Linked DNA regions of Xenopus tropicalis. The protein of the gene in region 1 purifies or fractionates together with the protein of each later gene. This does not show direct contact. Links are inferred from orthologs where the notes say so. Each region holds a gene or a part of one and is shown in the gene's direction. Other genes may lie near its edges.

The links.
Region 2: the proteins of arrb1 (region 1) and map3k5 purify together in Homo sapiens (affinity purification with western blotting; 3 studies listed by BioGRID and IntAct, with this or other methods). This does not show direct contact. The link is inferred for Xenopus tropicalis from reciprocal best matches to the Homo sapiens genes ARRB1 and MAP3K5.

Annotation. Positions count from the first base shown.
Region 1 is NC_030678.2:175,782,869-175,786,980, forward strand, and holds the start of arrb1 (beta-arrestin-1), read left to right. Parts: upstream 1-1,308; 5' UTR 1,309-1,652; coding exon 1,653-1,798; intron 1,799-4,112. UniProt on the Homo sapiens protein: Functions in regulating agonist-mediated G-protein coupled receptor (GPCR) signaling by mediating both receptor desensitization and resensitization processes.
Region 2 is NC_030681.2:58,903,795-58,907,366, reverse strand, and holds part of map3k5 (mitogen-activated protein kinase kinase kinase 5), read left to right. Parts: intron 1-1,225; coding exon 1,226-1,331; intron 1,332-3,572. UniProt on the Homo sapiens protein: Serine/threonine kinase which acts as an essential component of the MAP kinase signal transduction pathway. Plays an important role in the cascades of cellular responses evoked by changes in the environment.

The DNA of each region.
Region 1 (4,112 bases):
GCAGCCACTGCCTGGCACTGAGCTCCTCTGCTTAGTTTACTTCTGAGTTATTTTCATATCTCCCCATAGTTTCCCTTTGGGTGGTCCTTGCGGGGTGACACCCAAAGGTGTTTATACCACGTACTAGACCAGGCCTCACAACATGGCATTTATGGGCACAACTCCATGGCATATGGAACGGAAGTTGTTGTTGGCTTTTGCAGCCACTGCCTGGCACTGAGCTCTTCTGCTGAGTATTTTTCTGTGTTATTTTCATATCTCTCCATAGTTTCCCTTTGGGTGGTCCTTCTGGGGTGACACCCAAAGGTGCTTATACCTTCCGTGTACTAGACCAGGCCTCACAACATGGCATTTATGGGCAAAACTCCATGGCATGTGGAACAGAAGTTGTTGTTGGCTTTTGCAGTCACTGCCTGGCACTGAGCTCTTTTGCTGAATTTACTTCAGCATATCTCTCCATAGTTTCCCCGTTTGGATGACATTTAGCGGCTTTGATTTTATTCCCAAAATATAAACCAGACATTCATCTCCATGGATTGTGACCTTACGTTCACTCGCCCTGACTATTCCCAAACCCCTCAACGGAATTTATTTCTCTATTTTCTCCAGAGATTGATGCTTTTGGCCCACATCCAGACTTGGGGTTTTGTTTTTATAATACTCTTGTATGTGTTTTTGTATTTGTATGATTTAAAGGCAAAGTATTCTATTATTTGAATTGTGTTTTGTTTTGTTTATTTTGCCTGTTTCTGGTCCTGACTACATGCACCTCTCCCCCAGGCCTACACTCTAATTCCAACAGCAGAGATAGGAACCCTGCTTACTGGGCTGCCCTGGGAAATATGTTGTACAAGCAAAGCTAATTCACCTTTAAAGCATCTTGCCATACTTTCTTTATTTTGGTCCTGTTTCCATCATTTCCCACTGCTTCTATCCTGACCTACTGTCTCCATCTTGCCCTACTGTCTCCATCTTGCCCTACTGTCTCCATCTTGCCCTACTGTCTCCCATCTTGCCCTACTGTCTTCATTTTGCCCTACTGTCTCCATCTTGCCCTACTGTCTCCATCTTGCCCTACTGTCTCCATCTTGCCCTACTGTCTCCATCTTGCCCTACTGCCTCCATCTTGTCCTACTGTCCCCATCTTGCCCTACTGTCTCCATCATGACCTACTGTCGCCCTCTTGCCCTATTGACCATTGCCCTATCTTACCATTCTTCCTATCCCACTGTCTCCATCATATCTTACAATCCCCATTGTATCTTGCTGTTGCCATTTTGCTGGGGGGAATATTTGGGCCCCCTATCTCTGTCTCTGCATTCCCGCTGGCTGGGGAGGGTCTCACCCATACCCGCGGGAGGCTGCAGAGATTTGATATGCTGGTGTTGTGCCCGCGGCACGCTGTACTGCCGATGACGACACGAGCCAATCAGACTTGCACGCAGGGCATAACACAGTAAATGGGAGAATTTTGATGCAGCTGCTTGGATTGAGAGAGAGCGAGAGAGCGAGAGAGCGGCTGAGATTCCAGCCCGTGGGTAGTCGCTGCCATTGGAGAGAATAAAGGAATCAGTGGGGGGGAGAGAGCTGAGAGGGAAGGGACCGTCGCACACCTCGCTGGCTGGCAGGGCTGCAGTGATGCCGGTGCCTAGATGGATTACATGTGGATTGACAGCCCGTACCTAAGGATCAGAACCGTATTGGAGGAGTCGGTTCCTGCTTGCGTGGTGGCACCGCTGGGAATCCGCTGTGGGGAGCTGGAAGCCCACAAGGCCGCGCCAATGGAGAACGTATTTCTGTGAGTAAGGACAGGTCTGTGGCACAATGTGTGTCGGACTGGGCACAAGGAATCACCCACAGCGATGCCCCCTCGTGCCAACATGACCCCCGGGGTGTTACCTCTAATGAGCAAATCCCACTGTTATTCCCCTTAATGCCCGGTGCTTGCAGTGCCCCCTCTTTCTGTGGCCGGGCTGCCTTTAGTGCCCTGCAGTTTGTGTGGCCCCCAAGCTGTATGCAAAGGGACCCTCAGGGATTGGCTGTAACTGTAGTATAGTGTGTATAGTAAGGCAAGATGGGGCTCGGCATAGGGGCTACAGTGCTGGACAGTGTGCAGAATAAGGTAAGGTGGTGCCAGGAGAAGGGGCTCTAACTATGGCATAATGTGTATAGTAAGGCAAGATGGCACTCGGCATAGGGGCTACAGTGCCAGGAGAAGGGGCTCTAACTATGGCATAATGTGTATAGTAGGCAAGATGGCACTCGGCATAGGGGCTACAGTGCCAGGAGAAGGGGCTCTAACTATGGCATAATGTGTATAGTAAGGCAAGATGGCACTCGGCATAGGGGCTACAGTGCCAGGAGAAGGGGCTCTAACTATGGCATAATGTGTATAGTAGGCAAGATGGCACTCGGCATAGGGGCTACAGTGCCAGGAGAAGGGGCTCTAACTATGGCATAATGTGTATAGTAAGGCAAGATGATGGTAGGTGTACAGGCTGTAACTGGGGGGGGATGCTATGAAATGTAGAAATATGTAATAGGCTGCAGGGGGGCCCCGTAACTTGGCACAACCCTGCCCTGTTCTGGTATAGAGTTTGCACCCTTTGTGCACTGGCACCTCATTCCCAGTGGAACCCATTGGGCACGTAACCCCTAAAGGACTTGTGTCACTGGGAAGCTCTTGGAATACAGAAATGACGTCACAATAGTGCGGCCAATAATGTCATTTAATGGGGCTCTTGGCATTTTAGCAGCTATATGGTCGATAGGGTCCAAATTATCTTAGCAACCAGGCAGTGGTTGGAATGAGAGACTGGGATACGAATAGAAGTGGGACTGAATAGAAAGAAAAGTTACAGAGCTGTAACAATAAAACTGTGGCCGCACAGAGCAATGGGTCATTGGTTCCCAAGAGCACAATGGAGGCAATTCATTGGCTGAGTGACAGTGGGATGTGCAATCTGGCGGGGGGGGGGTGGGGGTCATATAATTAGATTAGGGCTGATAAGAGGATTAGCGTTAGGGAGAGTGGGATAAATATATAAGGCGCTTTGGCTGAGCAATGAAGCCTTTGGGGTAATTACCTTCCTTATCCGCTGGCCCAATCCGGGGCAACTGGAAGTGACCTGGATATTTAGGTGCTCTAATACCATCCAAGGCTGTAGTTGTATAACCAGGCACCCATGGGTGCTATAATTGGGCTCCCAAAACCTCTATTCGAAGTCTGGGAGCCCATTGGCCCTGTGACTTGTATCTTTCTGGGTGCAATTAAGGACTCAGCAGCAGGGGAGGGGGGTGACTGGTCTGGGGCCCAATCACAGTGCAGGGACGGGGCCATAGCCATTGTCATAGGACTGCAAAAGGTACAGGGTTTGCTGGTGAGATGGGCAGGGGTCTGGGCAGGTAAGAGGGTAACAGGGCAGACTGGGGGTTTTGCTATGTATGTACCTAGCCTTGGTTACATGGATTCTAGGGCTCAGGGCCTGTGTGTGGGCGGGGGGGCTAATAACCCAGGCTCCATTGTGGGGAAAGCCCTGCTGATAGCATGTGGCCCAGTCATCTGTCGGACCTGCCAAATATCCTGCATTTTTGCCCCCCGTATATTTAATGGTGATATAAACCCAGCCATGATGCTGCCCCACGGCGCCCCCTAGTTTTGCTATAGAAGCTGCCAAAAACCATCATTACAGATGCAAGGAAATTCCCCAATGAGAATTGTACTGATAAATAAGTTGATTATAAATGCAAAAGAACTGCCCAGTGAGAATGCTGATTCCCAGCACTGTGTCAGGCCCCTTGCTGGTACCTTACATATAGAGATAATGATGGCATTTTCTCCCCTCATTATATGGCACAGGAATCAGACATGGGGATAAAGGGACAGACTTGTTCAGTGCTGGGAAACTGTGCTTATTGCTCCCAACTCCAATTGCAGGAACAGAGAACAGGGAGCCGGATTTACTCACATCAGCTGGGATTCTCATTGGAGGATTTTTCGCATGTTAAAGCAGTCGCTGGCTGTGGGGATTTGGGGGAAAGTTTTATTGTGCAATATTGCTTTAAGAATACAGCCCTGATGTTGCTGGACTACAGCTCCCAGCATGCCCCAA
Region 2 (3,572 bases), on another chromosome or scaffold:
TAGACCTTTCTGATACAGCTTACTTAGCTTTTGCCTTTCTTCCTCCTATAAATGGGGAAGTTTTGTATTCGTATTTTTCATAAACTAGGAATTCAAGTACTTAGTAAAATATACAATTTGTAGCATAAAAAAATCACTATTAGTAAAAAAGAGCAAAATACAAATAGTAAATGGGCCCTAAAATTTTAAGCTTTTCAGTGGCATTTAAGCACTTCATTCATCTTTACTTTTTCCAGGTACCCAGTGGTTTGTGTGTTTTATAGGAAATTCAGCTCTTCTTTAACAGATAGGGAAGGTACTCAATAGACCACAGCCCTGGGTTTCCTGATATCTACCTCTGTGTGCTATCCCTAAAGAATAGAAAGAATGAAAATATAAGATATATATAAGAATTTTCCTTTTTGATCTCAATATCTTAAATCTTATATTTGATGAATTAATCTTAAATTAGTGATTTTATAGCACTTTTCACATTACACATCATCAGTTACTTCATATTGAGTTTATATAAGGGTTATAAATGTCGCACTTTCCTAAACAATATGTCCACAATGCCATTATTACACTTCTTTCCTGACAAAGTAATTCAATCCCCCCTCTACTTTGCCCTACTTTAATCATTCGGTTGGTGTTATACTATATTATATGTACTTCTTTATATTTCATTTATTGATTAGGGGGTGGTGGCTTTTTTGGCACAGTATTGGTGCTTTAAATGTTTTTGGAGCTGAAAACATCATGTTTCAACATAGAGCATCTTTAGGTTGAAAACTGCCCATGCTGGTGCTGTTAGATTTTTCCTTTTTAAGTTCAGGAAGTGGCAGGTACTGCTGACATAATAATGCACAGAAAACATCCTATGCCCTCAACCTAAAGGAGCTGGTCAACTATTGACCAGTCTGTTTGACATGGAAATCTTAGTGCAGGGGTCCTCAAGCTAAGGCCCGCAGGCCGGATACTTCCCCCCAAGGTCATTTACCCGGCCCCCGCCCCCGCTGTATGCTCACCCCTGGCTACTACCTGTCTGCCTCAGTGTGGCCCTCGGCCTCAGTGAGTCACATAACTGCGTCCTACCGCCCAACGCTAATGGCGCTCCATATCTTAAAGACTAACTATAGTTTGGCCCCCCCAACAGTCTAAGGGACTGTGAACTGGCCCCCTGTTTAAAAAGTTTGAGGACCCCTGTCTTAGTGAGTATAGTCAATTTTCATTTTTCTTTTACCAGGTAAATAAAGTGCTACGAAATCATAACATAAAGCCTCACTGGATGTTTGCCTTAGATAATATAATTCGAAAGGCCGTGCAGACAGCTATCACTATCCTGGTACCTGGTGAGTCCCATATATATAGACCCATGTGTTCTGTTGCAAAACTATTGATAATTTGTTGGATACAAATGTTGAGTGTTTGATATTTGCTGAGTACTTCAAAAATATATTCACATTTTCTTTTTTTAGACAATCGTTCTTTTTAGGAATATATGTTTCCCAGAAGTAGTTAACCTATTATCAGCATTGTCCAGTATTACTGCAACAGTAGGTATTGAGCTCACTGAAGAGAAACTACTCCATCATGAAAATTACATTTTAACATGTGGAGATAGTTACATAGTTACATAGGGTTGAAAAAAGACCAGTGTCCATCAAGTTCAACCCATCCAAGTAAACCCAGCACACTTAACCCACACCTACCAATCTATACACTCACATACATTGATAATTGAGGAAAAGCATATGCAATATGCAATTTAACTGTCACTGCTAACAAAAATCCTAAATACTAACTCTGGTGGATGATTAATAAATAATGATAAAATATAGTTAATTTTGCATGGTTGTTTTCTGGATGCATTGAGTATACTTATGCTGTGTTTCACTTGCTGATTATTATCCCAAGCATTATAGATCCTATTCCTGTATTTATCTATTTATTTTGTTTTCATCATTTTCCCATAAGCTTGCAATTGCTATATACATTTAACTTTTCTCTGTGTAATCAGTCCCACCTTCTGTATGCCATTAAAATTTGCTTCACCTTTGTCTTACTTAAAACTGTATACACAAACTTACTAAAATGGCCATTCCTTTCCAATGCTGCTCCCTTCGCTTAACTTACCCTAGGCTCACTCCATGTCAGTGTTGCATAGTGTAGATATATATATATATATATATATATATGTAGTATATTATTACAAATATACTGGAGATTCCACTATTTACCACAGCCAGGTAAATGGAGACAACCACGGTTCTTTTCCAGAGATGAATCAATCTATTCAGATTGTCCAGCCCAGAGACAGCAAATAATACAAAGGTCTTTCGAACGTGCCCACAGGATATGTACTGTAGCCTTCAGAAGATTTCTCCCTGACCTTCCATATATCTTTGTGCGTGTATCTGTCTAAATGTGTAAGAGCTTCACAAGTTAAGGTGGCCATACACGCACCGATATTATCGTACGAAACCTCGTTTCGTACGATAATCGGTGCGTGTATGGTATGTCAGCGAGCCGACCGATGTCGCAGGAAGCTGCTGAAATTGGTCGGCTCTTCGATCGGCCAGGTTAGAAAATTTTGATCGGGCGCCATAGAAGGCGCCTGACCAAAATTCTCCCTTCAGAGCTGAATCGGCAGAAGGAGGTAGAAATCCTATTGTTTCTACCTCCTTACCTGCCGATTCAGCCCTGAATGGTGTGTGGCGGATCTGACGATGTTTCGTGCGACCGATGGTCGTACGAAACATCGTCAGATCGCCACGTGTATGGCCAGCTTTATACTGTTAGAATCTCGCTGACCAAAGTAGGGATTTGTTCTGATTGACAAGATAATCAGGTATCATAATCTTTGTTGTGTTAGTCAGTCAGGTCATTTCCATAAGGATGCTGTTTCACCATAAACAACTGAACAACCCGTTTACTTTGAAATGCTAAGAGAGGTTAGTCACTGCTATTTTTAGAAAACGAGTTCCAGTGACAAGTTGCTTGTTTTATCTCTACATAGAGAAAAATATAAATCGCCAGTACCTAAACTGACAATACCACTTCAAAATGCTTATCACTCCTAATCGCTATGAGACCCTTTTTCGAATGATTTTACAAAGAATTGAATTGAGCGGGAATTTGCTGCAATTTCCCCATTTCACTGAATGTAATTTCTAATTGTGGGCAGGGAATATGACACCTGGATTTGTGGGAAATAGAATTACTCTGTTGTTGAAATCTCTAGTAATCGCTTGTAAGGAAAAGACTTGCTTTTTAAAAATCGCTGCGACTAATCTCTCCGTGGGACATTAGCCTAAATGATATTAATATCATACACTTGTAGGTATGTATGCATAGTCCCCACACATATTACTACAGTCAGTATTTAAAGGGATGGTCCCCCCCCACCTCCTCCCACTAGAAGGACCCTCCCCAAATCTTTACAAGACCAAGCTCATCCACCTATCGGCATCTTTTTGGTCCTTCTGCTTTTTGAAAGCAACATTTTCTTTTTAATCTTAAGAAAGTTTTGGAAATGTCCATAAGGTGTTCAAGGGACAGGGGTTTCTGGTCCATGAACCTTACTGCCTCCT